Drosophila melanogaster: one gene and its partner. The main gene of each other region encodes a partner of the protein of the gene in region 2 in a complex. Each region holds a gene or a part of one and is shown on either strand. Other genes may lie near its edges.

Region 1 (3,751 bases), on a different chromosome or scaffold from region 2:
TTATCCGATTCTGATTTCCTTCTTTCCTTATCTCTGCCTGTGTCGAAGACTTCTGCTGGTGATTGGGAGTTGAATGGGCCGAAGGCGCACAGGTCTTCTCCTCCGTCGGGTCCAATTCCAAAAGGTAATTCTGAAAGAGTAAAGGATTGCTCGATATATTCTTTTAATTAAATAATAACATTAAACATACCTGATTCTGCCAGAGCTCTTCCTCAGTTCTGGCGTTTACATCCGCATCGCTATGCATCCACGGATAATCATCCTCTTCACTGTCATCGTCTTTATCACTATTCTCGTCATCTTCGTCGTCCTCGTCATCATCCTCCTCGATATGGCCGTTGGCATCCACGGACTGTCCATGCTCCTCCATATCAACCAGCTCTTCGGTGACCACTTCCATTTCAATTGATTCCAAAGCATCATGAAAGATATCGCCTCCAACGACTTCCTCGGTGTGCACTTCTTGCATATGCAGATGATCTTCCTCAGCGACCAGTTGGTCCTCTTCCTGAGATATTTGCTCCTTATGTGCCTCCATCTCGTGCTCCTCTGCTACTTCCGTTTGCTCGTGGATGTGGTGCTCGAAGTCCTGATTCATGCGCTGGAGAATAAACGTGCTCACCTTTTTACCGTTGAATTCACCGCGGCCTTTGCTCTCCGAGCGTTTGCTGGCTGGCTGATTCGTTACCGCTCCAGCGTGATGGTCCAGAGCGGGAGACTCCTTCATGTTGATACCCCTGGGAAGTGCATTCGCGAATTGAGGCTGCGCATCTATCGTTTGTGTGCCCTGTTCCCGCTCCCGAAACACAGTTTGCGTCTCAGCATGACAACGTATCAACTTCTGCTGCGGGGCAGCAGGTGGCAGTGGGGGATCATCGTCGTCGTCGTCATTGTCGTTCCTTCGCTGGTTCTTTCGCCGCAGCTGTTTGCATAGTTCCTGGTTGGCGGCCTCCAACTGAGCAACGGCCTGCTTTAATTCCTCATTCTGCGCCTTCACCACGCTCATCTTAGCGCTTTGGTCGTCCAGCTCCTTGTCCTTGGCCGCTATGCTGTCCGTCTGCTCCTGCATCAGGTTTAAGTTCAACATAACCATGCGCCTCAGGTTGTTGTTCTCCGAGATGAGCTTGACCATATCGGCGCCGGCACACACGGTTCCGCCGGAGGAAGGAGGAGCCATGGCTCCGCCACCATGCTCAGCTGGCAGCGAATGCAAAAGCTTTCGGTAGTTGTTATTACCCCCGCCATGTCCTCCACGACCATTGCCATATTGCTGGCGCTCATAGATCTTCCCGGGATGCTGATGAAGATGCTGCGTCTGATTGGGATGGCCGTGCAGATTCCTTTGGCGGCCACGCGACGGTATGTGGGGATAGGGCGATTCCAAGTAGTTGGCCCGCTTTTTGGGCGGCCACTTGAATCGCTTGTCCATGGCAGTCGAATTGAATCCCGTGCCGTCGGTCCTACGATCTCATAATTCTCCAAATGTTTTTGTTTTGTTTTGGTTTTGTTTGCGTCGCTTGGGGTGCACACAATCTCTTCAGCTGATACGCCGTACAATGCGTAGAATCCCGATTACAATTTCGCACCACACTAAATTTTCCTTGCTCGCCCTCGCAAAAGAACCGCTCTTTTCTTGGCCAGAATCTAATGGATTTATCGTTTTAAACGTGGCGTTCTTATCGCACGTGGTGACCGCATTTAGGCAGCAGTTTTTCGGTTCGTTTTTGAACGTTCTTTCACCGCTTTTTCCACAATTGTCCTCACAATGTAAAGTCGCCCCGAAAATGCTCTTAAAAGTATGGCGTTTTGCTGGCGTTGCCACTTTTCGCCAAAGCGCAGAGTTGATTGGGGGCATAGAGATGGCAATTTGCTGCGATGCACGAGCTGAGCACGACAGTCACGAAGTGAAAATATTTTCACGAAACTGTACTTTGTTGCACATAATAGCTAATAGCTAAGTTAACACGAGCCGACGAACTAGTACAGTTGGCTTAGTGTATGAAACATAATATCAAAGTGCTGAGACAGCATTGGGCCGGAGTCTTTGTTAGCTTTAAGAATCATTTTAAGTTTCAGCTTAAATTTGCAGTTACCAGAATAAAGAGCGGCAGCTCGTCAACTCCGACTAAATGTCGTTAAACACATTTTTATTTCTTACTCTGCCAGACCACAAGGATAGCAGTTAAAAGAGGACAGTTTCTCTCAACGTAAATAATAATCTTCCGTTGCTCCCCGGATAATTATTTTCAATTTTTATGTGGTATGAGTAATTGGAATGAGAAAATAGATGAAAAAGAAACTAGCTAGCTAATAATGTATTGATTTTATTTTATTTTTTTTGGTAATTTTATTACATTACCAACTCCTTTTAAATATTTCACTAAATTTAAATAACTACAATCTTTGGATGAATTATCCTTCCTTGTATAATGGTATAAATATAATAGAATAACAAAAACTCGTGACGCCAATGTGTCGCTTAGTGATAAAAAAAACGTGTCACGCTGCCATCTCTTATGTCTGCTGCCACCAATGCAAAAGCCGGGTTGGCTGTACAAATTACCTTTAGTGCCACCCACTAATGAAAATATGTCTAAGCAAATCAAAATAGCCTTTGGGAAAGACCAAATAGTTATGTAATCGGAAAATTAAAAGAACAAAGAGCTGTTCAGTTGGCAGCCCCCTGTGACTTATGCAAGCGTCGCCTGTGAATGGTAGATAGAGAAGAAGAACAAAAATTGGCGCCAAAATTTTGTTAGATTGTTTATTTGGTATTTAAGTTTCGGCCACTAGTTCTATGGCATCCCTGTTCGGAGATGATGGTGTGGATGACCTATTCAATGACAACATTCCGACTGACCCGGATCAGCTGCCCAGCGATGGCGAAGGCGAAAAGCTGTTTGCGGACGACGAGGACAACGGCGTAGAACCTGGTAGCCAGGATGCCCAGATAGTGGAGCCTAAGAAGCGAGCTGTGAGAAATCCCCGACCGCGACTCACTGTGGAAACACTTCGAGGTCCTCGTGGCATCCAGACCATCGAAGATTATTTTAAGGACATCAAATTCAAGGGCAAGGGTTACGAGAAAACCGATCTCGACGAGGTGCTTCGCCGCCTGCAGCACTGGGGCCATCGTATGTATCCCACCTACACCTTTGACGATGTGCTTAACAATATCGAACGGCTGGGCAAGAAGAAACCCCTCCAAGTGCACATGGCGCGATATCGACTCGGTCAGCTGGAGCAGATGCGCGCCCACGAAGCGGAGGCCCTGGAGGAGGCGCAGGATGAGCAACAGGAAGGTGCCGGCGATGAACCCTTTGATGAGTTCGACGCCCTGCTAGGTGAACAGATTGCCATGTCCAGGCTGGCGCCTCCCAGCCCGCAGCAGTGGAAAATGTCTACTGCTTCCAGTAACAGCACGCTGGCTACTCCGTCATTCTCCCGCGGCAATGCTGTAATGTCCACGCCGTACTCCGGTGTAAATGCGACCTTCGACAGAAGTGGAGCTTCTGTGGCTCCGGCCTTCGATCGGAATGGAGCTCCGTTGGCATCGATGGACATCAGCGACTATGGTCAGCCGCTGCCTCCCTCACAGCCTCCCACGCCGGCGGCTAAGAAATTATCCAACGAACAGATGGCCAGGATTGCGGAAAACCGCAGGCTGGCGCAGGAGCGACTTAAGGCCAAGCAGCAGCAGGAGAGCGGAAGTAAAAGTTAGTGTATATTTATGATATAAAAACGCATATTT
Region 2 (3,751 bases):
CGTAATAATAAATAAACTAGATAACTACGATCAACTAAAGCTAAGCAGCAATCCCATCCAGGGAGTCCAACAGCTCCCGCTGCAGATCTTCCTGGGGCAGGGCAGTGGAGTTAACAAAGTTTTCCCTGTCGAACCACTCCCTGTGGTTCTCCAAGTAGCTGAAAAACCAACAGATTAGCTTCGTGATGGACTAGGGAGGGGTCTTAGACTTACTTGATGAAGGCGTCGAGGTGGGGAAGTAGATCTTCTAGCTTCTTGTTGCTGATCGGCGATGCGTTTAAGAACATGGGCATTTTAACTGCAAGTACCATGAATTAATGTGTGTTATAGAATGCAAGAAAGATTGTACATACTCATTAGCCTAACCAGGTGGGGAGCGCCAAAGACCATGGACTTTTCTGGCGGCGATTCCGCTGACAAAAGCCGCCACTTGAATGTTTCGTTCAGAAATCCACGCATCTCCACGGGCAGTTTGTAGGCAGCCGTATATGGGGAAGTCCTCTCATAGGCCTGCGCAGTGTTTTTCCCGCTGGCGGTAACAATGTAGAGCAGGCATTTTTGCAACTGCTTCTCGTACTCCGGACCGCCGATATTAATAACTCCGATCTGTCCATTGGTGTCGCCCGACCCTTCTACCACTGGCGTGCCGTCCAGACCGATCAGTTCCGTGTCACCGCTGGGATTGATATACTCGTACGACTTGTTCAATATTAGGCTGCAGTTGCGCATGTTGTCGTCTGTGAGGTAGTTGTGGACATACTCCTTCTCCTCCGTATACAGCAAGTGGTCATCCACGTGGAACTCAAAGTAGATACGCAATCCGTCTACCACCTCCTTCAGCATGCAGACACTGTTAATAAGTAAGAGTATAAGTGGGTTGTTAAGTCTGATATTGAGTGGTAACCAACGTGGACATAACGCGATCGTATTCCCGCTCCATTCTGGCATTGCGACTCTGCGTGTTCCTGGCCCTCGAGCTGTCCTGTTTAATGCTAATGGCTAGCTCCACGGCCTGCTGCTTGACGAAGTTTTCCATGATGGTCACGATGGGCACGCGGGCGGGCAGTGCGTGCTGTTTGCCTAGTACCTTGATCATATTCCGATCGTACTCTATAAGCTCTCGCAATCGCTCGCTGACTCGCATCATAATGCGATCCTCCTGTGGCACATGGTTATAGACCGATACATCATTTATGGCATTGTTATAAAAGGTCTCTGTTTGTCTGCCCCGGTTTCCCTTTAATCGGCCATCTCCGGACGGGGGTTTTTCCTTTCGCTTGCCACCGCTGTTGTCCCGCGTCCGGTTGCCCGCTGCTCGTGGAGTGGGCGCCATTTCGTGCTCCGCCTCAAGATGTCCCGTGTCCATTGGAACCACTATTGGCTCCTCAACGTGGGCCGCTTTTCCGCCGCGTTTCTTCTTGGCCGATGGCTTATCGGGTGTGCCCTTGTAGGAGTAGTCACCACGACTGTGCGAAAAAGAAGGGGGAACTCGTTAGAGAGGTATTCCACGCATGTCTAGGGGGTTATCTTACATTTGCAGCTTGGCAGCTTCGGCCAGCTCCCTTTGCAACTGGCGATTCTCCTCGGTGTCTTTCAATAGAACGGTGGCGCGCACACAGCGATCGTAGGATGGACGCCAGCCCTGGAAGTGAATCTTGTACTCGTAGAACCTCAGGCCATGCTCGTTCCGGCGCTCAAAGACGTTTAGCACCTGCGGCATGTACGGAAAATTGCGGGAAACGGAAAATCATTTGTGAAAACTTCGCCTACGACGTTTGCTTGACATTTCAATGCGCGCGCGTGTGTGTGTGTGTGCATGTGTATTTACCTTGCTGGTGTAAAGAACACGGGCCTTCGATTTATCCGGCTCGTAGCAAAGGACTATCTCGCCCTTGTGAAAGAGCGGTGTCTCGTCCCTTAGCTCCGTCATTACTTGCAGTTAAATAGGGCCGTAGTCAGTCACTTATGTATACAAAATGTTAAATATTGAATTCAACTGCTGGCGTCGCTGAGATGATATTTATAACGAATGTTTTTTGCGATAAGCAATTGACGTGGGTATCGAATATTCCCTCGCACTTATCGATAACACATACTGTCGATGCTTGCACGTCTTTAGCAGGCCGGCCTTAAGTGTGACCAGACAAAATGCATTTTTGGCGGCCAATTTAAATAAAATTTTCTATCATCAGTAATTTGATCACAGTTTTACCTTTTGCCAAATGATTTTTTAGTTATACGTAGCTTTACCCTGTTAGCATTTAAGAATAATGCTGACGATCATTTTGTGTTTTTAAGAAAAAACCCAAATAAGTAACAAAAAATGTGCTGTCATCCCGGTTGCTAAGGACAAGAAAAACCAAAACAAAAGCATGTCCTGAATCACCTGTTCGTTTTCACACTGTGCTGCAAATTTTTCACCAAGATCCTGCCATGGCCGGTGCTCCCAACTGGCTTCACGTGGACACGGCGGAGGAGGCTCCTCCACCGCATCTCACCACCCTCACCAGTTGCATGGCCCTGAGCGACGTGCAGTGCGACGGATATGTCCGGCTGCTGGCGGCGGACATTTCACTGGACAATGCCGCCGAGGAGCCCACTGCCACGCTGAAGGTTTTCCGTGGTCTTAAACTCAAGCACGAGCAGCCACTGCCGGGGATTCCAGCGGCCATTGAAAGTCTCTACATCGACGAAACGGAGCCCAAGACGCCGGGTAGAAATAACGTTGCATTTTAATATTTTTAAATTAGATTCCATAATGAATACAATTTTCCAGTAATTGCCGTGGCCATCGCTGAGTCAGTGCTCTTCTATCGTCACCTAAAGCCATACTTCAAGTACACGATTCCCGCACAGGACTCCGAGGATCTGGAGCTGGAGGTATGGCGAAAACTGCCGGTTGTGAAGCCAAGTGCCCATCCCGCCCTGCTTGACTCCCTAAAAACCATAGACCACTCCAAGCTGTCGCGGAAATCGCAGCGACTTCTGCAAATGGGCGAGCAGGAGCGGGAGCACTTCATTGCCACGCACAAGGACTCCCCAGTGGGTCGGGTTGGCAACATTGTGGCCATGTGCTGCATAAAGCGCATCTCCAGCGATGCCAATCCCCCGTCCCACTTGGTCCTGGCCACCGATACCGGGCACATCATGATCCTGGAGCCGCAGGGCTTCAATTTGGTTTACCAGGGCAAGGCCTGCGATGATGAGACGGCCGTGCCGAGCCTGATCTCCGTGCAGGGAACCTTTGAGACGGATTTCTGCATCGTGGTGGCCACGCGAAATGGCGGTGTCTACCTCCTGCGGAAAAGCCAATCGGAGGGACAGGAGATCTTCAAGCTCGGCATCCCCCTAACCGGCCTCCTACTGCTGCCCATCGATCAGACGATAATCGCCTCCACCATGGACAATCGCTATCTGTGCTACTCAAAGCGGGGCAAGCTGTTATACCAGGTGCCCATGTCCGATCTACCCGTTTGCCTCCTACCGCTGCCCTTGACCCATCTGGGACTCACCCTGGTGGCCATTGCCCTTAGAGGAGGAGTGGTCAAGTTTTATTTGCAGCGCTACCTCGTCGACGAGTTTGTTCTCGAGGAGACGGTGGATGCCATGCTGTACGGACGAATGGGCATGGAGGATCACGTCCTCACGCTCGTTACTCAATCTGGTGGTATCGTGGTTAAGATCCTGAGACGTGTGTCCCGCTTTGAGCCCAAGGCCGGTGATTTGGCGAACAAGCGAGCATTGGGCGATA

The links.
Region 1: msl-3 (region 2) and msl-1 share a complex: the UniProt entries of both Drosophila melanogaster proteins name them as parts of the male-specific lethal (MSL) histone acetyltransferase complex.

Annotation. Positions count from the first base shown.
Region 1 is NT_033779.5:18,686,997-18,690,747, forward strand, and holds the start of msl-1 (male-specific lethal 1), read right to left. Parts: upstream 1,805-3,751; 5' UTR 1,430-1,804; coding exon 191-1,429; intron 131-190; coding exon 1-130. Other genes in the region: CG10336 (uncharacterized protein), read left to right, coding at 2,798-3,721. UniProt on the Drosophila melanogaster protein: Component of the male-specific lethal (MSL) histone acetyltransferase complex, a multiprotein complex essential for elevating transcription of the single X chromosome in the male (X chromosome dosage compensation).
Region 2 is NT_037436.4:7,123,493-7,127,243, forward strand, and holds the start of msl-3 (male-specific lethal 3), read right to left. Parts: upstream 2,042-3,751; 5' UTR 1,931-2,041; coding exon 1,829-1,930; intron 1,712-1,828; coding exon 1,533-1,711; intron 1,467-1,532; coding exon 909-1,466; intron 851-908; coding exon 354-850; intron 299-353; coding exon 214-298; intron 159-213; coding exon 41-158; 3' UTR 1-40. Other genes in the region: BBS1 (Bardet-Biedl syndrome 1), read left to right, coding at 2,434-2,713, 2,777-3,751. UniProt on the Drosophila melanogaster protein: Component of the male-specific lethal (MSL) histone acetyltransferase complex, a multiprotein complex essential for elevating transcription of the single X chromosome in the male (X chromosome dosage compensation).